Saccharomyces cerevisiae S288C: one gene and its partner. The gene in region 1 interacts genetically with each later gene. Each region holds a gene or a part of one and is shown on either strand. Other genes may lie near its edges.

What was found.
Region 2: mutations in KAR5 (region 1) and HXT8 together harm fitness more than expected from each alone (negative genetic interaction), as found in Saccharomyces cerevisiae (one large-scale study listed by BioGRID).

The regions. Positions count from the first base shown.
Region 1 is NC_001145.3:393,555-406,245, forward strand, and holds KAR5 (Kar5p), read left to right. Parts: upstream 1-6,147; coding exon 6,148-7,662; downstream 7,663-12,691. Other genes in the region: cleavage polyadenylation factor subunit RNA14, read left to right, coding at 1-1,234; ARG7 (glutamate N-acetyltransferase), read right to left, coding at 1,500-2,825; RIM9 (Rim9p), read left to right, coding at 3,523-4,242; AEP1 (Aep1p), read left to right, coding at 4,349-5,905; SOV1 (Sov1p), read left to right, coding at 7,987-10,683; UBX4 (Ubx4p), read right to left, coding at 10,769-12,019.
Region 2 is NC_001142.9:18,107-35,652, reverse strand, and holds HXT8 (hexose transporter HXT8), read right to left. Parts: upstream 8,767-17,546; coding exon 7,057-8,766; downstream 1-7,056. Other genes in the region: oligopeptide transporter OPT1, read left to right, coding at 1-1,803; YJL213W (uncharacterized protein), read right to left, coding at 2,495-3,490; oligo-1,6-glucosidase IMA5, read left to right, coding at 9,567-11,312; REE1 (Ree1p), read right to left, coding at 11,924-12,520; YJL218W (acetyltransferase), read right to left, coding at 13,090-13,680; hexose transporter HXT9, read right to left, coding at 14,453-16,156; oligo-1,6-glucosidase IMA4, read left to right, coding at 17,117-17,546. UniProt on the Saccharomyces cerevisiae protein: Probable glucose transporter.

The DNA of each region.
Region 1 (12,691 bases):
AGGTACCTCAGACTCAAACATTCAGCAGTTACAGATTTGGTTGAATTGGATAAAATGGGAAAGGGAGAATAAGTTGATGCTTAGTGAAGATATGCTATCACAAAGAATCAGTTACGTTTATAAACAAGGTATTCAATACATGATATTTTCTGCTGAAATGTGGTACGATTATTCAATGTATATATCTGAAAATTCGGATCGACAAAATATCTTATATACTGCGTTATTAGCTAATCCCGACTCACCTTCTCTTACATTCAAGTTATCCGAATGCTACGAACTGGATAATGATTCTGAAAGTGTTTCTAACTGTTTTGACAAGTGCACTCAAACTTTACTATCGCAGTATAAAAAGATCGCCTCCGATGTAAATTCGGGTGAAGATAATAACACAGAGTATGAACAAGAGCTGCTATACAAACAGAGGGAAAAATTAACATTCGTGTTTTGCGTGTATATGAATACGATGAAAAGAATATCAGGACTATCCGCAGCACGTACTGTATTTGGTAAATGTCGTAAACTGAAGCGTATATTAACACATGACGTCTACGTGGAAAATGCATATTTAGAATTTCAAAATCAAAACGATTATAAGACTGCTTTTAAGGTTTTAGAATTGGGTTTAAAATACTTCCAAAACGATGGAGTTTATATCAACAAATACTTAGATTTTTTAATATTTTTAAATAAGGATTCGCAGATCAAAACCTTATTTGAAACATCAGTGGAAAAAGTGCAAGATTTAACCCAGCTGAAGGAAATATACAAGAAAATGATAAGTTATGAATCGAAATTCGGTAACTTAAACAACGTTTATTCTCTAGAGAAAAGATTTTTCGAACGGTTCCCCCAAGAAAATTTGATTGAAGTTTTCACAAGTCGTTATCAAATTCAAAACTCCAACTTAATAAAGAAATTAGAGTTAACTTATATGTATAATGAGGAAGAAGACAGTTACTTTTCTTCTGGAAACGGGGATGGCCATCATGGCTCTTACAATATGAGTTCGTCAGATAGAAAGAGACTAATGGAGGAAACTGGAAACAATGGAAACTTCTCCAATAAGAAATTCAAAAGAGACTCAGAGCTTCCAACAGAGGTTCTTGATTTATTGAGCGTTATACCAAAACGTCAATATTTTAATACAAATTTACTCGATGCGCAGAAATTGGTGAATTTTTTAAATGATCAAGTAGAGATTCCAACAGTTGAGAGCACCAAGTCAGGTTAACATTACGTTAATAAATAGGTATATATGAATATTTATACCAACACATCTATTATAATAGGCGAACCTCTGTATGTAATTAAGTAAAAAAAAAACGATGTGACAGGATAGTTAAGGTGCCTCGTACATAAATAAAAACGGAAATAGTTAATTCTTTCAAAAATATGGCAATAGCCAAACTCATTCAGAAGGTACAGGAAACACTCTGTTTCTGTGCGTTTATATAACCATGCTTATAAAAGAAAGATTGAACAAAATATACATGAATTTATGAACGGTAATCACCGTTAATTGTTACATATTCATGTGATAAATCACAAGTCCAAAATTGTGCTGCCTGATCACCGGTTCCCAAGTCGACAGACACTTCCAAATCATTCAAAGCCAATATTTCAGAAGCCCTTGTTTCATCGATCTCCAATTGTGGCACACCATTAGCGACAAGCTTCAGCTCACGAGGTTCTGAATTGTCGGTAGCAATAAAGCTAACATTAATTTTGTTGACATCTAGAGATTTTAAGTCATTCAGCTTTGCATACCCGATCGCGCACAATATTCTTCCCCAATTGGCATCTTGCCCATATAGTGCGGTTTTGACCAACATAGAGTTTGAGATTGATTCAGCAATTATTTTGGCGTCTTCAAAATGCAAAGCATTTTTAACGTTAACAGTAACAAACTTTGTCGAACCTTCACCATCGCGAACGACTAACTGGGCCAAGCGCTGAGCAAATTCTGTGACCTGCAATTTTACTTGTTCAAAATCTTTAGAGTCTTCGTTAATTTCTTTGGTGTCAATAGCACCGTTGGCCAACATGCAAATTGTGTCATTGGTGCTCATATCACCGTCCACCGATATACAATTAAATGAACGGGTAGTAGCGAAAGTCAGCATCTTCTGCAACGCCTTGCTTTCAATAGGAAGATCTGTAACTATGAAACCTAATAAGGTAGCCATATTCGGACAAATCATACCCGCGCCCTTTGCCATACCTGTCAAAGTATACTCAGTACCACTAGGTAATTTGAATCTAGATGTAACTAATTTTGGGAAAGTATCAGTAGTACAGATTGATTTGGCTACGTTCAACCAAGAGTTAAAATCACTGCCGAACTTTTCTTCTCCAAAAATTTTATTGATACCAGTGCTGATCTTGTCCATCTGTAGTCGTTGTCCAATAACGCCTGTAGACATGACTAGGGTAGAATTTTTTTGACCAATTTTATCGTTAACCAAATCAATCATTACTTGGGCATCTTTCATACCAAGATCACCTGTGACCGAGTTAGCACAACCGGAATTGACTACAATAGCGTTGATGTTTTTACCACGAGCAGTTTCAAGGACTTTTTTCGATGTCAAAACTGGCGCAGCTTTGAATTTATTGGTCGTGAAAACAGCTGCTGCGGTTGAAGGACGAGATTTATTGGTATTCAAGATTACACCCAGGTCCAGGCTCCCGTTTTTTTTGACTCCAGATGCAGTGTAGCCTACTTCAAATCCTTTAGGAAAAGAGCCCGTCTTGGGCACGTATAATGCATACTTATCTATAAGCTGCTTCGAGCGTTGAAGCAATGTTGATGATATTCTCATGCTATGTTGAATTTTGGACTTCTTTAAATAAAGGGAATAGAAGTATTGCTGATACTAGCCCAAAAATCGTCACCTTTGTGCGGCGAGCCGAGGATGAGGCTTTTATATACTCGACGACTAAAGAAGTTGGCAACGAATTACGCAGTGAGTCATCCTACCTGTCCATCGCAGTAGAAAAAGACCTTCGCCAAGAAAACACCGTCAATAATGATTGCTAAGCACTCTCACTTAGTACTACTATCAACGCTACCTTCAATTTGGGTCTAACCACGGCCCTATTGCATCACTACTCTCTTTATTCTATGATACAGCGTGGGGGTGAAGCCAAGAGCCCTGTGTTTTACTTCAGCATACCAACAAAGTATAAGATTACTTTTGCTATACAGCGATGAAAAATGTATTTTAATGTTTGTAAATTTATGATCTACTGACACGTCTCAGACAGATCACATTTACAACACAGCATGCTATGACTATATACAAAACATGACTTTTCTTTATCACTAAAAGTAACTGCCAATTTATTGTCGAATCTCGCTATAGTTTGATTTTCACCAGCGGCGCGCGCAAGTATAAGCTAAGAAACAATGAATATAGATAGATAGTGATGAGCGTTGAGAACCGGGAAATGAGTAGAGACGTCCTTCTAAACAAAGATTTATACGGTTGAGACAGATTCATTGAGGAAAAGAGGAGAATGGTTAGCATGATCCATATTGTGGTGTTTTTGCTAGCAATCACAACCATGTTCGAAATACTTCCGCTAATAACCGTCCCCGTGACCAAGTACCTATCGTTATCGTCATTCAGAAACCACTATTATGGCCTGTTTGGCTGGTGTGTACGTGGTCAAAACCAAGAATTGATGTGCACGAAAATGAAGATAGGATATGACAGTACAGATGTCGACTCCTCCGGGCACGTTTTGACCCTGCCATCGAACTCAAAAGTGGTCGTCTCCAATTTATTAGTGGTTCACCCGATTTCACTGGCATTCACAGGAACGCTATTAATTTTAGCAGTGATTATCATGGTAACTCCACTAGGGGACTCACCTGAGATGTTATTGTTCACGGCCCTTTTTTCGCTGCCAACGTTCATGCTATGTCTTTTATGTTTTTTGGTAGATATTCTTCTGTTCATCTCCAAACTGGACTGGCCCGGCTGGCTAATGCTAGCCGCTACTATTAGCGTAGCACTTTGTTGTTCCATGCTGTGGGTCATGAGAAGAGTTGTGTCAGTCAAAAAATATGAATCGCAACAGTCAATTGCGCATGCGTGCTCAATGGAACAGTACTCAATTTCCGACATTTACCAGAGTAAACAGAACGGCAATAGCTCAGAATATGAAGTGGCTCCAACACATACAGATAGTCTGATTGCTCCAGAAGTGACATATAGAGGGTTCATTGAATAAGTAACATCATGTGTCATTTTGCACGTTACATCGGTTTGCCAATCGGCTTCCAAATATTTGTACATTTTTTTCTTCCTCCATCACTATCTGTTAAGGGTCTTAGAAAATGATTACTACAGTGCAAGAAATCAGCAAATGGAGAAACCTGTGCTTCATTAGGATGCAATCTCGCAAATGGTACCCAGTACTTAAAAAGACTCCTTTAGTAGCGGACGGTCGAAAGATCATTAAACATGCCGATAAAGTTCCTCATCCGGAAGAAATAATTCACCCATTTTACCAACCAACAGCAATAGAACAATTCACGGCATGCGCTACGGAATACAATCCTAGCCTGCTTGATGGCAAAAAAATTGCTCCATCACTGATAAAACACCCGGTGAGCCTAAAAACCATACTAGTTGATAGCAAATTAAAGTTTGATGATATTAGGGGAGTGAATAAATGGTTGATGGAATTCGTTGCAAGACGACAACATCAAAGAAATATTGTACTTACACCTGCGAGCAAAAGCGTTAGATCTTTTCACGTTCTGCATTTGTCTTCAACCGATATTGCCAAATTAAGAGGTCTTGAAAATATATTATCAGAGATTGAAAACACGAATGATTTGCAATCCAGGGTCGAGTCCGTAAATAATGAACTACAGAATATTTTTGACCGCGACAGTAAACAGACAAGATTATTTTGCGAGAATATACTGGCTTATTTGATAAAGAATTATGGAAACTCGACTGAAAAACTTATACTACTAATAAATGTTACTGAGATGCAATTATATTCACGTTTAGACCAAATGAAGGCCATGAACATTATTTTATATAATATCCTTTGTAAAGTGGAAGCAAATGAAAACCCACCGTACAGTCCCACATTGGTTACCGCACTAGAAAACCTATTGGCAGCGATCAACAACAGATTTTTTCCAGGGCGTTGCGAAAATTCATTGCACCCAATAGTAATTGAACAACTATTATCATATTTCATTAAAACCGGCAATTTGAATGAAAGCAAAAATTTTTTGGGCCATTTAATAAAAAAGGGTATTTTACCAGAGGCTACTATCATTAATAGATATTTGGAGGCAATTGATGTTCATTTCGATAAAAGCACTAAGATTTTTGATATAAGATCCAAATTTGCATTCATAGCAGATCTTGCACCCATAATAGAAAATTATGGAACAATAGACCTGTTCAAATTTTTGATACCTATGTGCCGGCATTTCGACGAATTGTGTTCTCTGCTAAATATTATTCGAAAATCCAATAACGCAAAACGGGCTGTGGATAGCACCTTACCTATTTTTATCAAAAAAGTATTAACATTTACTAAAGATCCAATGATCAACTCCGGAAATCTATCCACTGTTTTCAATATAGTGAGCCCAATATATGGACAAAACGTGCCCAGCGAATTCGTGGAGAAATTTATACTGTCTTTTGCACTTCAAGGAAATTACACTATGATGGCTCATATGATAGATACATATAAGATCAAACTAAGTCATAAATACCAACTACAAATTATTAGGGCTCTCAAAAATAGTGAGAGAAATCACGCGCTTAAGAATACGGGCGCTGTAGGTTATAATAAGGAATTTAAAAAGTACTTCATCGAGAAATATTTGAATTGCACTGAACGAGAAGCTTTACGCCCATAAATCGTCTATATTAAAAAAAAGGCAGCATAAGAGCAACTCACTGCAAAGGGAATTGCGCATTCCACGCAAATAAACAATGTAAATAAGAATACGTACTGTAACTGTGTCACACTAGCGGGTTGTTTTATCATAATTGTTTGGGATTAATCCTGAACAAATTTTCTATATATAAACACTGGTTCGGAATACCAATGAAGTATACATATTCTGGTTCAACAACTGTTTCTATTCAAAAACTTTGAATGTTTGAAATGCGCTACGTCTATTTGTTTGCAATTTGTATTAAGTTTGTTTCAAGCTCCGAACTAGGAAAAATCAACAATCTGCTGCAAGGAAGATTGATATACACAGATAATTCCGTTGCGACAAATGTATTAGAATCCAAATTTCCATTCTTGAAATCAACATGTGTTAAAGACGCACTAAAATTATTTTTGCCACAATGTATTGCAAATGGACTTGAATCCATTGACGCTGAAACAAGGGTAGAAACGGCCATTAAACTTTCAATATGCGAGTTTCAGGCATCTGGCTTGGGCGAAATACCAGAAAATTGCATGGTTGACGACCTAGGATCAATGATGGATTGTATGTTTGAACTAGAATCATCTTCACAGTGGTGGACAACTTATAGTGGAAATTATCAGCGACTATCGAGTATTTGTTATGAAAATCTTCTTCCTTTTGAAAAAGAACAGATACTGAAACTTTTTCTAAATATCACTGAACTTTATGATTCATTTGGGGATGATGTCGATACTAAGTTAAATCATCTGATGTTTCAAATGGAGCAAGATTCTCAAAATTTTTTGGACGATCTGGCCAGGATGTTCCGCAACTATGACAATGAACTGCGAAATGCGACCGAAAGCAATCGAATAATCTTAGAAAACGACCTCTCATTTTTTAGAAATAAAGTGAATGATGTACTCTATGAAACTTCCGAACAACTAGAGGTCCAAATCATAGAGAAGAACAGTCAACTAATGAATGAAGTTGATACCGTCCATCATATTATGAGCGATCTAGCCGATGAGCTTGCTAAAAATGACATAAAATCTAAGATAAATGACTTGAAGGACGACAGCCTGAATAATTTACAGGACCTAGTGGAAATGTCCAACGACGTAAAAGAATATTACTCTAGAAATAACAAGTTAGTTAATACCGAGTTGGAAAACTTCTCGATGGGTTTAAAAAAACAGTTAGGAGGCATGTCAAAGGATCTTTCTGAATCACAAATGGAAGCTATAGAGCTCTTGCAAGGGTTCAATTCCATCCTTCATGATTCATTGTTACCATCCATGACGGATGAGATAGTACCTGAGATGACGAACTTCAAAAATACCTTACTACAAGAATGGACAGCTATAACATCTACACTAAATGGAGATTTTGCTTTATGGAATGAGGAGATTTTTTCAACTTTTAATGATATTTCAGAGAAACTGAATGGCACAAAAAAAAAATTAGACGACATTGAAATCAGAGTCTCACTTGTCCATAAAAATGTCATGACAATGATGAGGGTATTGGATTTTATGTGGAAAACTAGTAAAATGATTATAAGATGTGGGTACCTTGCAGTCAAGAATAAATACTACTGGTTACTGTGCTCCGTTGTGTGGATTTGGTCAAAATACCGTACGTCTCGAGTAAACGTCAAAATGATTCCTATTAAACGCTATTACCAATGGGCAGCTCTTCTACTTTCAATTTATCTAGGAGCTAAGACTGGCTCATTGATTGATTTTTAACATTACCGATGTAACAATATATGAAAGCCTATATATACATAGATGTATAGGTATATAGCCGCATTCAAAGTCTAGCAAAATAAATATTCTTTAAAAATTCAAGGACACCGGATCATGGTGGCCATAATACGGGCAAGTGAACCTAGAGAAGGTGTCCTACGTCACTATCCAAGTTAATTTGCTTAAGAGAGTTCGAGTGCAGCACCTACAGCTTTATCATTGAAGACGAAGCAAAAAGATCTTGAGATTCTATATCATGGGCACAGGTAGTATTCATTAGGTAGTAGTAACGTATTAAACAAGGCCATACTATATTTATAACTCATGTTCAAATACAACCGCTCACTCTGTAGCAGCGCTTTGATAGCAAAGTCTCAGATTCGTTTTTATAGATTGAAGCGGGCGCCATTGAATTATGCCTCCCATATACCTGAAGTTCTTAATAAGACCATCATAGGGCCAGACGAACCAGAAAAATGTCTCATTTTGAAAGGAAAAACATCAGAGGAAATCGAAAATAATCTTCTCAGTAATAAGAAATTTCAGGAGATCAATCCTCTTGATACTATCCAGGAAACGTTCATTCAATATCTGAAATTTTGTAATGAAACTAACTTTAAAAGAAGTAACAAGAATTTAAACAGATTAAAAAAAACCTTAGAAAGCAAGGACTCTAATAGCACCGTAAAAATTAATGCAGTTTTCAATTATTTGCTCGAAGAGTGTGATTTAGAAATCAAAAGATTGAACACGACCGGCCAAACCCAGGTATACAATGAAGAGAAAGGAAATGAAGATGACTTAGAGCAATCCATAATGAACGATATTTTCCGATCAGCACAAGAACAATTTGAAGATCAAGAGGGCCATATACCGTTAAGGAGTACATCATTTTTACTGGAGATTTTGAAAAGTTTTAATGAACGGTTTAATGGCATAATCAAACCGAAAGAGTCAATAACAGAAATGGTCACATTCAGCCAACTTGCTCAAGCTTTTGAAGTTGTTAAATTGATACCAGTGCAAGAAATGAAGGAGAAAGGGATTTACTTGGTCGGAAATTTACTTTATGGCACAGGGAAAGTTCGTTTAGATCCTATAAATGAGTCATTCTATATTGAATCCCTACTAGTTTTTGGAAACTATAAGGCTGCATACAGTTTATTTATTACCAATAAAGACAAAGTAAACGAGCGCTGGTGGAATGAACTAGGATTAATGATCACATTAAGGTCTAACCACTTGAGAAACTTCAGGAAACTTTTAGCCGAGACAGATGCAAAGTACTCAACAAAGTATTCTTATTTGAGCCCAAGAGTTACCAAATTGAGCATACGAAAATATTTGTCGATTGGCAATGTTACTGAAGCTAATATACTGACTGATCGATTTATTAAGTTAGTGGAAGAAGTTGGAATAATCAGAATGAAAGATGAGCAGGAGGAACTTCCCACGGGAGTTAAAAATTTTCAGAATGAGAAACATGCAACTGAGTTCTTAAATGAACTAGAAATACCATCGGATCATGATTATATCAGCATTGTTGATTTCCATCTTTATAAGAGAAATATTCCCATGGCGGCTCAACTTATCAGCAAGTACATGGAAATACCTGGAACGACACAAGAAGATGCCGCATTTCTACTTGTTAAAACCAAGCTAAATATGTTGAAAGATTTTGAAAAGCTACGAAACATTTTTGCTCAAAATAAAGATTATGTAGTGCCTGAGAATAATGTGAAAATGTTGCAAGAGGCATTTGAGAGCGTTATTACTAAGTATAACACTAATTCTCCAATATACAATGAATTGCTGTTTGAGAATGTTTCGGCCTTAACAAAAAGTATTGTATTAACTGATTTTCTGGAAGAGTTCATTACTAAACAGGCTTCTGGACAGTGGATGGAATTAAACAGTGTGTCACGTTCCAGAAAGTTTAATGGCTTGTTGAACATACTTCTCGGTACAGGTGAAGAAGAAAAAGCATATAATATCTTAAAAAAACTAGAAGAAGCCTCAAAGAAATCAAAAACAGATCCAGATTTACTCTATAATCAGTTTTATTCGGAAGTTAATGCATATCATTACGCTAAATTTGTTGAATTTTATAGTCTTCAAATTCAAAATATGAAGGCACAAAATACGCCCTCATTTAGAAAAAAGGAATTTAAGCAGAAAGTGAAGTCACTTTTAAAAAGAATGCAGGAGTCAGAGGTTATCCCAAATGCTGTTTTTTTGAGAGAAATACTCAATTTTTATGATAGCATGTATGACTTTAATTCAAGTTTTGAGATCATCAATCCGCTACTTGAATCCAAACAACAGGTGAGCTCTGAGTCTTCATTATCCACCTCAAACCCTTGCCGATTTTACAACCGTCGCATCATAACAAAACCGCTGTACCACAAGATTTGGTCTGTGTATTGCCATTATTATCATGTTTTACAAAATAATTCTAGGATTTTATCGAAAAAGTCGTCCATTGTAAAGAAATTAATAAAAAGGCAGATAAAGATTCACCCAACTTGTCACCCAAGAGTATTGTTCCAAATGACGGCAGAAAATGGTGAAATTTTGCCAGACAAAACTTTTTCTAAATTAATTGTGTCCACGTTCATGAAAAGCGGGGATTTAGAAGCAATACCTGCCATATTAACGTTTCTAACGAAAAAATTTGACTTGAATATTGATTACGATTTGAGTATGTATATTCTAAAGGGTTTGAAAAGACAATATTTACGAGATATTAGTAACATCAGTAAAGATGCTTGTGAGTACAAGTTACGGAAGGCGGAGCTAATGAATAATGAGTCAATCTTAAAAAACATTCCACAGGGTACAAATCAAGAGAATACAATATCCCATTTGATCAGGGAGATTTTGATCTTTATAAAATGGAAGGAAAAAAGTGATTGTTCTACTTTCTTGATGGTAGAAGATGCTTTTAAAGAATTAGGAACAGAGTTTACTTTACTCGAAGAATTAATAGAAGATGTAAATAAGTTAAAGATAAAAGCCTAAAAAAACGGATGCATTTTATATAATTTTAGCTATACGTGTACATATTTGTAATAAAGTTAAAAGAGGAGACTGTTTAGCTTTGTATTTATTTTTTACTTAATTTCATCCATTTAGGTACTCTATTTAAAGTCTTTTTGATACTTGTAGCGTTATCAGAAGGGCCCTGTGGATTGGATTTATTTATCGTATTAACTGATGGGGTTGTCCTCGTTTCGTGTGTGATTTTTTGTGCGTCTTCCAAAAGATGAGCCTTTATTAATGGGCCATTAGAATTTGAATTTGTTTCAAAAAGCAGCATTGTTTTAGAGCCAAATTCCAGGTCATCCAGTAGCTTCTTATCGTCTTTAGCCAAGGGTTTGAAAGGATGAGATTGGTTTAACGTAAAAGGCATGTTCTCATCGATCAGGAACTGCGACACGACGTTATAAACTGTACGCATGTCTTCATTGGGTTTGAATGCTATTTGAATATGGCTTCTATCGGGGAACTTGACTCTCAGCAAACACTCAGATATAGCCTTATTTTTCTTTGGCAAGTTGTTGGCTGATTGCTCTCTAAGTCTCTTTGTCAAAATAGGACCACCCAAAGTACCAGCCTTCGATGATAACATTTTTTGGTATTTCTTGGCTTGTTCTACTGTCAATTCATAATCTTCTTCATCCTCGATTTGATCCTTGATAACTGCTAATGGCTCATCCGAGGGCAAAAACACAGAAGGTTTATGTAGTTCGTGAGGTGGTAGTGAAGCAACCGTTTCCGGGTTCGTCATCGTAGGGGGAGTTTGTTTTGGGTGAATAGCGCTATTAGCGCTAATGCCCTCAGAATGAGATGTATTATTAAAAATCAATCTAACTGACGAAGGCTCCTGAATCCCTAAATTTTCGAGAGTCAAATTCTCATCCTTAATTGTTTTGAACTCTATTATCTTGGAAAAGACCTGGATCTTAAAATCATCTCCCGCAGCGCCGCTCATCTGTCGCAAGATAGGGGCAATTGGTTGGTCAGATGGCATTTCTTTAACCACGGAATCTCTTCCTGGGATTTGAAACCGTATTTTGATCGTATTGAATGGAATATCTTCGCGGTTGGTCTTATTCGCCACCGGAAAATTACTACTTTTAGATAATTCTAAGTTGACACCCGTTGGTAAGTTTAGAAGCCTCCATGGCAAATCTAATGGCACCGGTTTATCCAAATGTATCAATGACCAGTCGTTTGACGAGGTGTGCAGTTGAAAGAATTGTATGGATTGGTGTAACACATCGTTTAGTGTTGAATTCAACGAAACTTTACATTTGAAAAGTTGGAAGTTATACTTCACGGTAACCATAGGCATTGTATTGTGCGCTTATTAGTCTGCCTTGCTATTCTTCGCAGTACGTAGATTTATCTTAGTTTTTGCATTTTTTGGTTTTCTTTTTTTTTTGCCACACATAGTACAATAAAAGAGAACTTGAATCTTTGAAGAAACGTCTAAATTAACATCGAAGATAGAAGACAGGGAAACATCTAGGATTGCAAGAAATAGTGCTGAAATTTTGTAATAAAGTTGCAAGAAATAGCATCTAGCGTTTTATAAGGCGTACATCTTTCTTGGCAAGAGTTCCAAGAGAAAAGAGGAGCAAAACAGCGGTTGAGGCGCCCGCTATCTTGAATATTATACAGTTTCTTTAAAAACGCTTGTACAACACTGCATAAACATGGACAAATTATTGAAATTGTTTCAAGATATTTCCCATATCATATTCCAATAGCGTTACTCTCTCATCGCTTATTCTGGAATCATTATTTTAATAAAGATAACTCACACGATATACGTGTACTGAGCTGACCTTTATACCTACCCTTACCTGCTTATTCCTGATAAAAATGTTCGTGCAACTAATTGTTTGATTTCTCTTGCGGCCCGGTTATTCCGGAGTTGATACTTTTTTTCTTCTGTCTTAATTACGTTTTTTTCCTCTAGACTTTTTTGATCTGGTACAATTGAAAATGTATAAATCAACTG
Region 2 (17,546 bases), on another chromosome or scaffold:
GCCCAGGGAAGCTTTTACAACATGAAACTTAATGTCGGATATCAGTTCTTGTTGGTTTGGACATCTCAAATGATTGGTTATGGTGCTGCAGGTCTTACCAGAAGATGGGTCGTCAACCCTGCAAGCTCTATCTGGCCTCAGACTTTAATTTCAGTGTCCTTGTTTGATTCGTTGCACTCGAGAAAAGTTGAAAAGACAGTCGCAAATGGTTGGACGATGCCCCGTTACAGGTTCTTCTTAATCGTCCTTATCGGATCGTTCATCTGGTATTGGGTACCTGGATTCCTCTTTACCGGTCTGTCCTATTTCAACGTTATCCTATGGGGGTCGAAGACAAGACACAATTTCATCGCTAACACAATCTTTGGTACTCAAAGTGGTCTCGGTGCGTTGCCAATTACATTTGACTACACCCAGGTTTCCCAAGCCATGTCCGGCTCTGTTTTCGCCACACCATTCTACGTCTCCGCCAACACCTATGCATCAGTGTTGATATTCTTCGTCATAGTGCTGCCATGTCTTTATTTTACGAATACCTGGTATGCCAAATACATGCCCGTCATTTCAGGTTCTACTTATGACAACACTCAAAACAAATACAACGTAACAAAGATTCTTAACGAGGATTATTCCATTAATCTTGAGAAATATAAGGAATACTCACCGGTATTCGTTCCATTTTCCTATCTTTTGTCGTATGCTTTAAATTTTGCCGCTGTTATCGCCGTTTTTGTCCACTGCATCTTATACCACGGTAAAGATATTGTCGCCAAGTTTAAAGACCGTAAAAATGGTGGCACTGACATTCACATGAGAATCTACTCCAAGAACTATAAGGATTGTCCCGATTGGTGGTATTTACTTTTGCAGATTGTCATGATCGGTTTAGGATTTGTAGCAGTGTGCTGTTTCGATACTAAGTTCCCAGCTTGGGCATTTGTTATTGCAATATTAATTTCCCTTGTAAATTTCATCCCGCAAGGTATCTTGGAAGCAATGACTAACCAACACGTAGGTTTGAATATTATCACAGAATTGATCTGCGGTTATATGCTGCCTTTAAGACCAATGGCAAACTTATTATTCAAGCTATACGGATTTATTGTCATGAGACAAGGCTTGAATTTGAGTAGAGATTTGAAATTAGCCATGTACATGAAGGTTTCCCCTCGTTTGATCTTTGCCGTTCAAATCTATGCCACTATCATATCAGGCATGGTTAACGTTGGTGTCCAGGAATGGATGATGCATAATATCGATGGCTTATGTACCACCGATCAACCAAATGGCTTCACTTGTGCTAATGGTCGCACGGTTTTCAATGCTTCCATTATCTGGTCTTTGCCAAAGTATCTTTTCTCATCAGGGCGCATTTATAATCCGCTGATGTGGTTCTTCTTGATTGGTTTGCTATTCCCACTAGCCGTTTATGCTGTTCAATGGAAATTCCCTAAATTTAAATTTGCTAAGCACATTCATACTCCTGTATTTTTCACAGGCCCAGGTAATATTCCACCAAGCACACCTTATAACTACTCATTATTTTTTGCAATGTCATTCTGCCTAAACTTGATAAGAAAAAGATGGAGAGCTTGGTTCAATAAGTACAATTTCGTCATGGGGGCCGGTGTTGAAGCAGGTGTGGCAATCTCCGTCGTCATCATCTTCTTGTGTGTACAGTACCCAGGTGGTAAGCTCAGCTGGTGGGGAAACAACGTTTGGAAAAGAACGTATGATAATGATTATAAAAAATTTTATACCTTAAAGAAAGGTGAGACATTTGGTTATGATAAATGGTGGTAATCATGAAAACATAATAATAAACCTGCAGAGGTTCATATCAAGTTTTAATTCAAAATTTGGCACACGTAATAGCAAACTTTAGTTCATATTCTGTAATATTAAGAAATTATTTTCTTTTCTGTCATCCTTTCATATTGCTTAACTTGAAATACTTTATCTCAACGTTTAATTATACTGTTAATAATGATATTTCTATATTTTAGAGCACATTTTGGTCGAAACATTCAAAGCGACCCCTGCAATATTTAGCGGAGGCATCTCATCCGCCTTATTTTTGTAAATTAACGATCTTTAGCGCATGCCAAGTGTTCGATAACAAATTCCGACTTTAAGAAAAAACGGGCACGAGCATACAATAAAAAAACTTTTAAAATTTATACCTCCTTGAGGTGTTCTATTTTATGATAGATCCGTATTTCAGATACCAAATGTTATATACACTTTTTTAAGCTTGGATTTTTTTCTGAATACACGGACCTTACAAATGCTATAAAAAAAAAAAAGATTCTGTAACTTGTAAAATTAAGGGCCCTAAAGGGCCATATCCACCTCACATTTCACTGTGATATAAGTAGGATATTTTGACTTCAATACTTAAATTTACAAGCCAAATATTTTATTATGACTTCAAAAAAAAAAAGGCTTCTAGCATTCAGAAATAATGCTGACTGTGAAAACAACTATAACTACATCAATATATCCTTCCCTCTTTCATGACAAATAGTATGTTGCTCTCGGGTTCATCCAAAATCGTTATATCGTCCAACGGATTTGATTTCATCATCAGTAGGTCAGCAATGAACCCTGGCTTAATCTGTCCCAATTTATCGCCTAATCCGTTCATTTCGGCAGGAGTAACAGTTGCTGAGAGCAAAATCTCTTGTGTCGTTTGAACTTTCCCTCTAATACGAAACTCTTGCGTTTGATAACCATATAGAGGACCCAATAAATCTGAACCAAAACAAATTTTAACTTTTTTTTTCTGGGCAATTTTCATTGCATCAATTCCTTTGTAAAGCACCTCTGTATTTTTTCTACTATTTTCAGGTCCCAAGAATGCACTAAATTGATCAGAACCCATCACTTTGTAGGTAACTAGTGTTGGAGTCAAGTAGCAACCCAATTCTGCCATAAGCTCTGCGGTACGTTCATCTAATAAGTTTCCGTGTTCGATACCCTTAACACCTAACTTGATACAATTTTGTATCGCTTCCGCAGTGTAGGCGTGTGCTGTTACGTATGTGTGGTAACTATTTGCGACATCTACAAGTGCTTTTATTTCGTCGTCGCAAAATTGTTTGTTTGATATTTTGTCAGTTGGAGAGGCCACACCTCCACCACCCATAATCTTAATAAAGTCTGCACCTCTTCTAAACTCTTCTCTGGCCGCTTTGTAGCATTCGGGAACACCATCTGCTACAACACCAACTTGACCAAAGTGGCATGAACAGCTGTCAAAGGCACTAGCAGGTAGGGCACCAGATCTCAGATCGCCATGACCACCAGTTTGGGAAATGGCATGTCCACACGTAATTAATCTGGGACCATTCAAGGATCCCTGACGAATCTCTGCTTTCAGAAAGCCTTCTGCACCCCCACAGTCTCTCACTGTTGTGAAACCTCTTGCCAGAGCGGCTTCCAAAGTGTATCTTATTCTGAGTAATGCAACTGACTTTGGCATCAGCATTAACTTGGTCAGATCAGCCTCTCCTGCAACCGACGCAATGTGGACATGACTGTCGATCAGACCTGGAGTGACATACTTACCGGTGCCGTCAATAATTTCAAAGGCAACTTCATCAACGGTTACCGGCTTTTCAGAACCAAATTCGACCTTGGAAATGACACCCTGTTCTATGAAGATGTAAGCTCCGAGGAGACTGACACCGCTTACCACATCTATCAAATTAGTGTTACTTATACAGTAATTTTTGAGTGGCTCTGGGCGCTATGGTGCCACCAAGTCGGCCAGGGACTTGTTCATTCCTTCATTGACATCGATTTGATAAGTCGTCATTTTTATCTCGGTTAATATACTGTTTCGATGTCCCGTCAATTGGAAAGAAAAGCTACGCTACATACCAGCAAATATGTTGCTTTTATATTCGCTCATATCGGAGATCAATTACCGACATACTCTTCTCTATTCAACAAGTTCTCCGTTCTCCGTCAAGTTACGTCGTTTACGAACGATAAGAGGCTGATCAAATAGGAAGGAGATATTGTCGGATCATTTTTTAGTATGGAGATAATGCGTCATGCCGACATGAAGGCACCATCATCTGTGAAGTGTGTCAAGAAAAAACTGGCGAAGTTAAAGCTAGATAATCCGAATAAGAGGGATAGTAGAAAGGAGGTGAAGTAAAAAAATTATCACCATTTTTTCTCTATTAGTAATGAATTCTTCAAGGACTTTCAAAAGTAAACGTCACAAAAATTTTTATTTCTCAAGAATCTTGTTTATCGAAGGGTCTTTATTGAGAAATGTTAGAAAATTGGTAACTTTTTAAGATCAGAGTTAACAGGCAGAAAAAAAACAGGGTCTTTTTGTTCAGGAACCCTTTTTGGCTGAAAAAAAGAGCGCACAGAACAACGCGAAAAAGAAAAGGAGGAAATCGCGTATCCTTATGGCGTCGCAAAATTGCAATTAGTTAGCTATGTAATCTGTTTGGAAAGCTTCCTCAAAATTAATAATGGCGAAAGCAATATAACATCACTATTACATCAGGAATAGCTGTTGCCATACGATAAGGGGGTAATGAACAGATTGCTCATTAATGTCTATATTATGCATAATACGATTTTAATGTTCGGAATCTGTAGATGGTGCTAACATTTTACATGAACCAGCGAATAACCAGACTGGACTCGTTTGACCAAAAAAATTTCTGTTGGTAGTCTGTGTAGGTTTTCACAAAGAATAGTATAAATTGATACGCAACGAAATTAGTGGTAAAAATTTTTGTTTACTTTACGGCTTACACGGGGCCGTGGCTGATACTGGGAATACCATATCGTTTCGTTCCAGTGCCGATAAAGTGGCTGAAAAAAATTTACATATTTTTCTTGAGAGAGGTCTTTAACTGGTCTCACAGAGACGGTTAATCAAATGCTCGGAAACAGGATAAATGAGGACATCTGCACAATCGGGTGTTACCGCCTTATCTTGTTAGCAGTGGCTATAATCACTCCAGAATATGCCGTCGTGTTGGTGGCATAAAAAATTCTTTTTTTGCCATATAAGAATATCCAAGTTTAGGAATGACGCAAATTCGACACCAGGAATAATTAACGAGTTAATTCTCCCGACCCTCAAAATTTGAATAACAGTGCCCTCTTCTATCTGTTCACCACGGCACACAAACGGTTTGGAAAGATGTTGCTTTGGGTGTGAAAACTTTATTTATCACTGCTTTGCCATCACAATGTCTGTGATTTGAAGACCAGCTACTTCTCATTTAAAATAATATCTTATACGTACCATTGCTTCCTTTTCTGTAAGATGATCAACTACACGTCATCCTGAAAAGCAACATCACTAACAACTTGAGGCTTTAAGTCCAAACTCAATGTTGCAACAAGATGGTTTAAAGCAGCTCTTAATCAGTAGAAGCGAATATCAGCAGTAGACTTTTTGGCACTAGAAAATAAACTTCTTGAGTAAATTCTAGAGATACCTGCCTAGAAAACCCCCCTGAAGAGCCAATTTAGGTAGGAATTGTAATAAAGGTCTCAAGCTTGTAGGAGAATTATTTTTTTAACCCGCAGCAACAGTATTGTCACTTTCTTCTTTTACGACGTCATATTTTATAAAACGAATCTTCTCAACCTTTTTTAAAATTCCCAGTTGTCTACTTACAAATAATGACGTTCGTGTAAGTTTAGAGACTATCGGCACGCTCTAAAATGTGACTATATCGATATCGATTTGGCGGTTTTCACCAATAACAAAATGGGTGAAACATAGCTGAATTTTCTGCAATTCTTAGAATCCTATTATGAAATATTGGGGCCTTGAGCATTAAACCGACACCCGAACAAATTGAATATTTCGAAAATTGTTCTTTTCGATGTCATTTTTACCAAAAGTTAGATAGGAGATGACCCAGCGGTTACCTGTATTTCAGAGGTTACAACAAATTAAAGCGGTCTTATATTACTTTAGAAGCACCAACTTACATATTCTGGATAAACAGTATTTCTAACTTACTACTAGTTTAGTAACACATGTTCGTTACAGATAAGCCATTCAAAGATAATTAAAATCAGTTGCGCCATTATTAAAGGCCGAGAAATATATCAAGGTTTTCAGCTTAAAGGGATTTGCTGACTTTCTTATGCACTAACGCGCCAACATCGTCCTTTTAAAAATTAAGTCAACTCATCGCTTAGCGCTTAGCGCTAATGCTGGTCTTCCTCGAAGAGAACATGCGTTCGTATTGAGATATAAGTAAATATTGTGGTAATTACCGGAGTTTCATTGTTAAAAAAGAGTATGGAATTATGAATACAGAATAGGCCAGGAATTTTCATGAGACTATGGGAAATTGCCAAGGGAATCAATAATTCCACATAATGTAATTTTTCTTCTTCCTTTCTATGTGCCCTCGTTTATTTCCTATTACATTGCTACTCCTTTTATTTCAGCTTTTATTAATTCTGAAATCATTAGTAATATAAATTCTGGGTTAGGAAATCATAATTGATCTCATTCCAATGCACTAGAATACCTATGTACACACGAAAGTGCTTAAGTTATCATATGACGAACAGAGAATATCATATGTTCCATTTTTATTTTTCTATAAACAAAAGTTGCGTATTATTGTATTTTTTTGTTGTGTTATGCAATAAGCAGAGGCTACGATGTATTAATTAATCGGTTCCTCAAAAAAAAAAAAAAGTGATCTATAAAGCGTTGACGATAATCAATACTTTGTTATATTTTGGTAGTCCTGACGGGTTTCAAAATAAACAAAGTTAACAATCCGCCTACTAATTTGATTTGCTTTTTTTCATGGGCAGTAACATCAAGAAAACACTTTGTTGTTAAGCCCATCTAAGTATCATATTACCAAATCTTCTGTGAGTAAAATGATATAATAGGACTCAACGTGACTGTCAGTCTTCAGTAGCCCTGGTGTTTAATATATCGAATCAGTCTTAGGAATTAAAAAGCCCCTATATTACAGAGGGCATTGGACATTATTTATCAATGTACTTTGAAGTTTGCTTGCGTGTGTTTTCACCGGTCTAAAACATTCTTTTGTAGAAGGGTTTCTCGTCATGCTGTAATTTTTCGTTATCATAATCACCATCCCTTCTAGAAGCTGGTACCCAGGATTCAGATTTCCAAGGTAATACACCGTCCATCCACATCTCATCAACTTCTTCTAAAGTTAGACCTTTTGTTTCTGGAACAAAGAAAAAGACGTAAAAATATGAAAACGCTAAGCAACCCATGAAAACGTAACCGTAGTAGAAATTAATTGCCGAAGTAATAAAAGGAGTGAAAAACCCGATTAGGAACCCCCACAATAAGTTGGCCGCTGTTGCAACGGACATACACTTGGATCTCACCCTTAATGGAAATGTTTCAGAAATAATCACATAACATACAGGTCCCCAGGTGCAGGAAAAGCAGAAAATGTAAAAACACGTGAAAACAATCGTACAATTACCAGCACCTTTAGATGATGGTTCACTTTTACCGTTCGGATATAGTCTTGTGACGCCAACGGAGGCGTAAATAACCATGCACGCCGTCATGGTGGCTGCTCCAAGTAAAAGACATCTACGACGGCCCAACTTATCAACAGAATAAAGTGAAAAGAAGCAAGAAGCAAAATTCACAATACCCAAGACAATTGAAGTCTCAAAAGAGTCATTCATACCGACAGATTTGAAGATAGTAGTACCGTAGTAGAAGAAATAGTTGTCACCGGTTAGTTGCTGCAGAGAGTTAATCATGACTGTCATCGTTAAACGTTGAAAAACTTTAGTCTTTCTCGAAAATAATTCCTTCCATGAAGCAGTTCCCATTGCTTCTTCTGCCTCCACACCAGCAACAAGAAGATCAATCTCTGCAACCACAGCAGGATCGTCAACACTAAGCTTGTTCGACTTGGCAAAAGAAGCTTTAGCTTGCTCAATCTTACCGACTTGCACCAAAAACCGAGGAGATTCCGGAACAAACGTCATACCACCAATCATAATAATAGCCCATGCAAAACATAGACCAAGCGGAACACGCCACTGGACAGAATTCGAGTAAGTCTTGGTACCATAATTGGTACAATAACCCAAGAAAATTGCGAAAGTCACCATCAATTGCCAACAAGCTAGCAACGTACCTCTGATATGCTTTGGCGCAGTTTCCGAAATAAGCATCGGGGCAAGAACACTAATGGAACCAGCACCTATACCAGCGATAATTCTTCCAATAAAATACTGATACCACTTATCTATAGAGGCAATTTGAATGACAATACCAACCATATAAACGACAATAACTATAATCAAACCCATGCAGCGGCCGTAAATATCACCCAATTTAGACAAGAAAAGACAGCCAATGGCGCTTCCCACATTGAAGATGGACACAATCAACCCAGTTCTCACATTAGATAAGTAGTAAGTGTTCTTGGAATGGCTATAATTACCAAATCTTCTTAAAAAATCAGTCTGATTGACGAAACCAGAAATCGTACCTGTGTCCCAACCGGACATAAATCCACCGAAAGCCATACATAAACACATGATAGAAACAGTAGCATAGGCTGAAGCAGGCTTTTCTGGAACAACAACTTCCTCTGCCTCTTCCCCATTATACTCGGAAAAGTCCTTGTTTTCCTCCACTGTAGGTACTGACAGATGTGAAGAATTTTCTATCGAAGGGCAGCCATCATCTTCTGCCTCTTCGAAAATCGGTTCTTCTGGCAAGTTGGTTTTACGATCAGTCATGGTTTTTGCTGGCGTTCTGAGCTAACTAAAAGTGACTTATAAAAAATGCAATCTAAAATAAGAATGAAACAAAAATGGTCGTTTAAATATATCTAGTCAAGCTTCATCCCTTACAATGGTTAGCGATGATATTCCGTCGTCCAAAAGATTACGACCATGCCAGTTCATATTATTTTACTTAAGAGTTCATGTCTTTCATGCGAAGAAGCGTTCGGAAATTCCAAAACTTCTTAGAGTTCAGGAACAGGCCCGGTCGCGGAATTATTCTCGGGATAATTCCAGCCGCTTGGCAGGTAGGCTAAATTACACATTTCAAGAACTTTCTCCGGCCTTTTCTGTGAGATACGTTTATAAGTTGCTGCAGCAGGATGCTCTAGGCTGCTTTCTCTGGAATTTCTCTCCTTCTCCACATACCTCGTTGTTGAATCCCCGCGGAGGTGATATAATAAAGTTGCGTGAAAGCGTAAATGCCTAGACGGAGAAAAGAAAACGGGGAAATAAACTTTGCATTATTTTTCCTCCGTGGAGAATCCTCGGAGAAACACGGGAATATTTGAAACTATTTGCAACATTGTCCATTGAAATAGTCACAATCCTAGAAGCTAATTCACCGGAAAAAGTAATTCACACTTAAGAATTGTATCTTCCATTACCGCTACGGTAATTGATACGGTTTTGAGGAGTAAGTTCATAAACGTCTGACGAATTATAAATTAGGACACTTGTTCACATATCTTGGTGCGAAAAACTACTGTTTCTTGATGACTATATAGAAAGTGCTCAATATTGAAAAGAAAAACATGACGATCATCCATAATCCTAAATGGTGGAAAGAAGCCACCGTCTACCAAATTTATCCTGCTAGTTTCAAGGACTCCAACAATGACGGATGGGGTGATTTAGCTGGGATTACCTCCAAACTTGACTATGTCAAAGAATTAGGTGTCGATGCGATATGGGTGTGCCCATTTTATGACTCTCCTCAAGAAGATATGGGTTACGATATTGCCAACTATGAGAAGGTTTGGCCACGTTACGGTACCAATGAGGATTGTTTCCAAATGATAGAAGAAGCTCATAAGAGAGGTATCAAGGTTATTGTTGACCTGGTTATCAACCACTGTTCTGAAGAGCATGAATGGTTCAAGGAGAGTAGATCTTCTAAGGCTAATCCAAAGCGTGACTGGTTTTTCTGGAGACCTCCAAAGGGTTACGATGAGAAAGGTAATCCAATTCCTCCCAACAATTGGAGATCTTTCTTTGGTGGATCTGCTTGGAGATATGACGAAAAAACTGGTGAGTTCTTTCTGCATGTGTTTGCTCTTGGCCAACCTGATTTCAATTGGGAAAATGAAGAGTGCCGTAAAGCCATTTATGACTCCTCAGTGGGCTATTGGCTACGTCACAACGTTGATGGCTTTCGTATTGACGTAGGCAGCATGTATTCTAAGGTTGAGGGCCTACCCGATGCTCCTATCACTGATCCTACAGTTCCTTACCAAAAAGGAACTGAATTTTTCATAAATGGGCCACGTATCCATGAGTATCATAAAGAAATGCATAACTACATGCTCTCGCAAGTTCCAGAGGGTAAAGAAATCATGACTGTTGGAGAAGTTGGTATCGGGAATGAAGACGACTTCAGAGTTTATACCAGTGCCAAAGAAGGAGAACTAAATATGATGTTCAACTTCAAGCACACCTCAGTAGGTGAAAACCCAAAATGCAAGTACGAACTTATTCCCTTTACTTTAAAAGACTTTAAGCTGGCTCTTGCTGAAAGCTTTCTGTTTATCGAAAACACAGATTGCTGGTCGACCATCTATTTGGAGAATCATGATCAACCTCGTAGCGTTTCGCGTTTTGGCTCAGATTCTCCTAAATGGCGTGAGATTTCGTCCAAGATGTTGGCTACTCTCATCATTTCATTGACTGGTACTGTTTTTATCTACCAAGGACAAGAATTGGGTATGCCCAACTTCAAAAACAGAAAAATTGAGCAAATCAAATGCGTTGAAGGTACTGGTACATATGCCGCCATTAAACGTGATTATGGTGAAGATTCTGAAAAGATGAAAAAGTTTTTTGAAGCATTAGCTTTGATCTCTAGAGATCATGGGAGAACACCATTCCCATGGAGTGCTGATGAGCCTTCTGCAGGTTTCTCGAAGGATGCCAAACCATGGATTGACATGAATGAATCATTTAGAGACGGAATCAACGCAGAAGCTGAGTTAAAAGATAAAAACTCAGTCTTCTTTTTCTGGAAAAAGGCCTTACAAGTTAGAAAGGAGCACAAAGATATCCTTGTTTATGGACATAACTTTCAGTTCATTGATCTTGATAATGACAAGCTATTCATGTTTACAAAGGACACAGATAACAAAAAAATGTTTGCTGTTTTCAATTTCAGTAGCGATAATACGGACTTTTCAGTTCCTGATAATGAGGCCTCCTACACCATGTTTTTTGGCAACTATGCAAACTCAAATGGTGATTCCCGCACCTTGCAGCCATGGGAAGGAAGACTTTACTTGTTGAAGTAACGAGCACATTTAACATAAACGTACTGATCTTTCGAAACAAATAGTTATGCCGATATTTATGAATAATAAACTTGTATATTTCTTTTTACTTTTGCTTTTCATATGTGAGCATTGGATACTTAACTTACGCTGTACGCTATTTTCAATTGCAATTTATATATGTATATAGAAGACAGAAAATTCACTGAACCTTTTTCCGAAGAAATATAAAATAAAAAGCAACGTACAGCAGAAAAATAGAAAACATCATTATTACTGTTTCTATTGTCTAAATTTAGCCCTTTAAACCCCATCATCATAAGTACTAATTACCACGAATTCAATAATTAGTAAATACATTCGACTATTCTCACCCTAACTTTCGTCACTTTATCTTAAAACACTAGCTAAAAGTCGTTTATTATAACAAAACTAAAAATTTCGTAGTATGCACGCCTTATTGCCCAGTATTTTGTTAACTGTATGGATTGTACTAGTAAAAAAAATCTTGACGAAATTGAGTATAAACAAAATTTTAAAAAGCATAGTGCCAAATCAACAGATCTTAGTGAGGTGCAGGCCTTGTTCTTAACAAAAGCAAACCCCTCTTTATATATTGATATATAGGTGAACTAACTCAAATCATGTAAAGCTTTTCCTAAAGGAGCTGTGAGACTCCATTCCGAGAAAGTAACTTTCAATCCGCCACGCTCAGGTGTGCAAGCCATTGGTCCAACAAGGTAATGGTCAGAAGTTGGAAATGGAGCCAAACGTACTAACGGCCATGTTTTTTTATCAGAGGACACCTGAATCCTCAAAACGCCCTTTTCAACAGTAACACGAAGCCAGAAATCGCGAGCATTTCCGCCATAAACAGCAGTTGACCAATCTGATTTTCCATTTGTCAAAACACTGCTTAGCATTGCGTGGCCATCAGAAATTTCTATGCCAGCTTTGAGCCAATGTCCATCATCTATACGAACCATGATACCAGCCTGATCATAAAGACTCTCGTAGCTTCCCTGAACACGGACTTGTGCAGTAAAAGCACTACCTGTCTCTACTCCCAAAAAATGACCGCTATCACGGGTAAATCCGTAAAATGTTTCACGCCAAAAGTCAGTTTTTTCATCTGTTTCCAGAGTGACTTTTCCTGCCTCTTGAAAAACAGATTTTGGCTTATTGAGCCATGTTCCTTGCGATAATTCAGTATTCTTAGATTCGACCATTGTGTTTGGTAATTTATCTTGTTTGATGGAGAAGCCGTCACTTGGACTTTTGTTAATATTAGGTCAGGTTAAATACCTAGGAAATCTGTGCGTATAGGATCATCCCTTTCTAACTCCATCGAAAATGTTACTTGTTTTGTTCGAGGCTATTTGATGACCCTTTCATATGGACGCATGCAGGTGGCCATATTTTCAGTTTAAAGTTTCTCCGCATGTTAATTTGCGCTGAAAAATTAGAACGGTACTTATTTCCCCGAAAATTTCTCAAATCCGAACATAAAGCTACCAGCCACGCGTTTTCTATACGGTTGGAACTTGAGCAGTTTTACATAAGTTGTAAACTATAATTTTCTCCTCGAAGATAGATTATACCAGAAAGAAGCTACTATACACAGTCGAGTTGAGAATGAGCAACTTAAACCAGAACATATACCAATAATTAATAATCTCTCTGCGTATTTAGTCGACTAAAACTGAACTAGCTTTTTATTTATTCTTATAAGAAAATACGGTACATAATCATAGAAGACAACACTTGCTTTCGATAATTCCTCCAGAAAGTGGATCCATCATTTTCGATAGTTTGTAGTTGTACTATCTTTTTCAGTGATCTTTCTTATCACCTTACAAGGATTACCTGCTGCCACTACATTTTCTGGTATGTCACGAATCACAACACTACCGGCGGCAATCACGGAGTTTTTACCTATATTTACTCCAGGAATTATTGACACTCCACCTCCAATCCATACATTGTCTCCAATGGTCACAGGCATGGCATATTCTAATCCTTGAAGCCGTCTTTCCACGTCAATTGGATGACCTGCCGTATAAATACCAACATTAGGGGCGATAAATACGTTGTCACCGATGACTACCTTGGCCCCATCCAATATAACAAGATTGTGATTGGCGTAAAAGTTGTCTCCGATATAGATGTTACTTCCGTAATCACAGTAAAACGGCGGTTCAATTATAAAGTTATCAGTGCAACTACCAAGTAATTCTCTTATTACCTGGCTCTTTTTATTCTCATCAGCGGGGCTAAGGGTGTTGTATTCGTGCAATTTTATTTTAGTCTCTTTTCTAATTTTCAAAAGATCTGGATCATAGTTCGCATCATAAAGCTCACCAGGTACTATATTTTCTAATACGCCCATTTTTCTCTAGAAGCCTTGTTTATATGCTTATTAGAATGCTTCTCTATGTTCTTGTTGTAGTACGTGAGATCTCACTCTTTATACTTGCGTCTTTTCGAAGTAATGCTAAATAGTGCCTGGCCCAGCGTCACAGGGTGTTTAACGAGCGCGTACTATTTGTGAATTTTTTTGGGCACATTGAAAACTTTAATTTTTTAAGTTATTCAGGCACGGCACACTATGACAGGAGGTTACGTCGGAGAAATAGCGTTATGGCCGATTGTGAGAACATTTAAGAAATTTCAATCCATAACAATAAAGTGGCAGTGTCACCTAAAATATTAGTACCAACTTGCCCAATTGGCAGAAGGAAAATAAGGATATCAGGCCACCGACTTGGTACTATTTTTTTATGGTAAATGTGTACTTTTACTAAGCTTAATTTGAAACAGACGTCATATGAATGTTTCTGGGGCTACTTGTTACAATTCTCGGTCCGCAACAACTGAACTCTGTACTGTTCTGTCTCAATGCTTGGTTTCTTGAATGGAATTTCACTCCACCCTTCGGAACGTTACAAAATTTATACATTTTAAAAATTATTCATGAGAGAAAGATGCTATAGTAATCTGTTCACCCTGTCAACTCGTGTAGCTCATGTTTATCATATAATTTCTAGTTCTATAAGGCATAACAAATAGTCCGTTAAGGATTAAGGCGTAAAAAAGTAAATATTGTATATAATAAATAATTAAGTTCATGTATTTTTTTCCAGTTACTAAAAACCGGAAGATTAGCTGGAAAAGAACCTCTTGTAGATTGGTCTATCGTCATGGTCTATGGCGTCAGCATCGTAATCTGCGGTTCTTCTTTCTGGTGGCACCCATGAGGCTGATTTCCATGCTGGCACACCTTCCAGCCACATAGTATTCACCTCCTCCAGCGTCAGGCCTTTTGTTTCTGGGACAAAGAAAAAGACATAAAAGTATGCAAAAACCAGACAGCCTAAGAATACATAACCGTAGTAAAAGTTGATTGCCCCGGTAATGAATGGGGTAAAGAAACTAATCAGGAAACCCCACATCCAGTTTGCAGCTGTTGCGATTGCCATTCCTCTTGATTTGACCCTAAGAGGAAACGTCTCTGAGACAATAACGTAACAGCCGCCTGCCCAAGTGGTGGCGAACGAAAAAATGAAGAACATAGTAAACACAATCATACAGTTACCGGCGCCCTGAGAAGTAATGTCTTGGTGACTGCTTCCTTGAGGCCACAACTTTGTCACACCGACGGAGGCAAACACAGCAAAGCAGCATAGCATAGAAGCAGCACCCCACAATAGACACGTACGGCGTCCAAACCTCTCAATGGTGTATACCGCTATGAATGAAGAGAAAAAATTAACCACACCGATAATGATCGAAGTCTGAAAGGAGTCCTTTAGACCGACAGATTTGAAGATGGTGGTGCCGTAGTAAAAGAAGTAGTTATCACCGGTTAATTGCTGCAGCGATTGGATCATCACTCCCATGAGAACACGCTGAAAGACCTTTGTTTTAGTGGAGAGTAGTTCAGACCATGATGCGTTACCTGCCAGCTTTTCAAGTTCGATTCCCGCCTTTATAGTGTCATATTCTGCTAACAAGGCTGGATCGTCGACTGAGACTTTGTTGGATTTCGAAAGTGAACGTTTCGCTTCCTCATCTTTACCAACCTCAATCAGGTAACGTGGTGATTCTGGTACAAACATCATTCCACTAACCATGAATGTAGTCCAGGCAAAGCAAAGACCAAGGCCGACTCTCCATTGAGTGGCGTTGTGATAGTTCTTGGTACCGTAATTGGTACAGTATCCTAGAAAAATACCCATCGTACACATCAGCTGGTACAATTGGACCAGGGTTCCTCTGATTTGTTTGGGAGCAACTTCAGATATCAACATTGGGGAAAGGACAGCAATGCCTCCCACTCCTAGGCCAGAAATAATTCTTCCAATGAAGTATTGGTACCACTTGTTTATGGAAGTTATTTGGATTAGGATGCCTACAACGTAAATGGCAGTAACTGTAATCAATCCAATACGACGACCATATATATCACCGACTTTTGACAAGACAATTCCGCCTATGGCGCAGCCAATGTTGAATATTGAGACGATCAAACCCATTCTTACTTTCGATAAGTAGTAGGTTCCCTTGTCATTTTTTTGACCGAACCTTCTGATGAAATCAGAAAGGTTAACAAAACCAGAAATGGTACCGGTATCCCAACCAAAGATGAAGCCGCCAAATGCAATCATCAAACACAGGATTGCGACGGTGGTATATGCAGAGAGGGGTTTTTGAGGTAAGTCAATAGGTGGTTCAGTGGCATCCAGGTTGAGGGAGTTTTTAGAGTCATTATGCTCAGTTTTTACAGATGGTGCATTTGCTACTGAGTTAGAGTTAGACTCGGTAGTGGATAAATCATTTGCGGATGTATTATTAACACCGGACATGATATTGGGTAAGATACGAAAGCTTTTAGTACTCAATTGTGCAATGATTATTTTTTCCAACTCATACCAAAAAAAGAAGAAGAAAAAGATAGGAACAACAGTGTTCTTTAGTTACACAGCTGTGACATTATATACCTTTATTTAGCGAAAAAGAGGAACTGAGAAAGATGAGCCTAGACCTTAAGAGCTAAGTAGTATAGGGTGTGTCGAACTGCTACTGATACTTTGAACGAAGGTGTCCGAGTGTATGCATTGCTCGTGTGGTCAGCATTTTTATTGTGGAGGAGGCGGATTCATCTACAATTTCCGACGCCTGATTTTCCACGGATATAATTTATTTTTTGACACCTGGAGTTTACATTTCACAAAATTTCTTTCTTTTTAGTTTTGCACTGATTTCCCCTGAAATAAAGAAAAAAGAAAAAGAAGGTTTTGTGAAGTGTCAGGGAAATGCACGAGAAAAGCACTTATAACTCGCACGGAGAAATGATTATGTAATTTTCCCGGAGAAATGATTATGTAATTCCGCGGAGAAATGGTTATGTAATTGTTGCGGGGATCGAGGGTTGTTTACGCTCCGTATTTTGTCTTAGGGCTATGTATACGCAAGGCTGCGGAGGCAATGCAATAATGGGGTCTGCTTGCAGATGGTATAATCTGCTATAACGGGCCAAGTGACAGGCACGCTGTTGCAGAACATACCATCTTATATCATGTAGGTTGTGCAAACATTACCTAAAACTGAAAGCTTCGTTTACATACAGCACTCCTTCCAGATCCTAAATTTACTTTGTTCTTTTCTTATTTTCGATCATTCGTAAGACGTCCACAGACATATATAAGTAAGGAAGACTTCTTCACTCGAGGAATTAGCTGTACTAGAATATATGTTCCATTCACCAATCCAAACACACAAACAAAAGTGAAAGTTTTTTCATAGAGATAAGAAAGCAACGTACAATGACTATTTCTTCTGCACATCCAGAAACAGAACCCAAGTGGTGGAAAGAGGCCACAATTTATCAAATTTATCCCGCAAGTTTCAAAGACTCCAACAACGATGGTTGGGGTGATATGAAGGGTATTGCCTCCAAGTTGGAGTACATCAAAGAGCTTGGTACCGATGCCATTTGGATCTCGCCATTTTACGACTCGCCACAAGATGATATGGGTTACGATATTGCCAACTACGAAAAGGTCTGGCCAACCTACGGTACGAACGAGGACTGCTTTGCCTTGATCGAAAAGACACATAAGCTTGGTATGAAATTTATCACCGACTTAGTCATCAACCATTGCTCCAGCGAACATGAATGGTTCAAAGAGAGCAGATCCTCAAAAACCAATCCAAAACGTGACTGGTTCTTCTGGAGACCTCCTAAGGGTTATG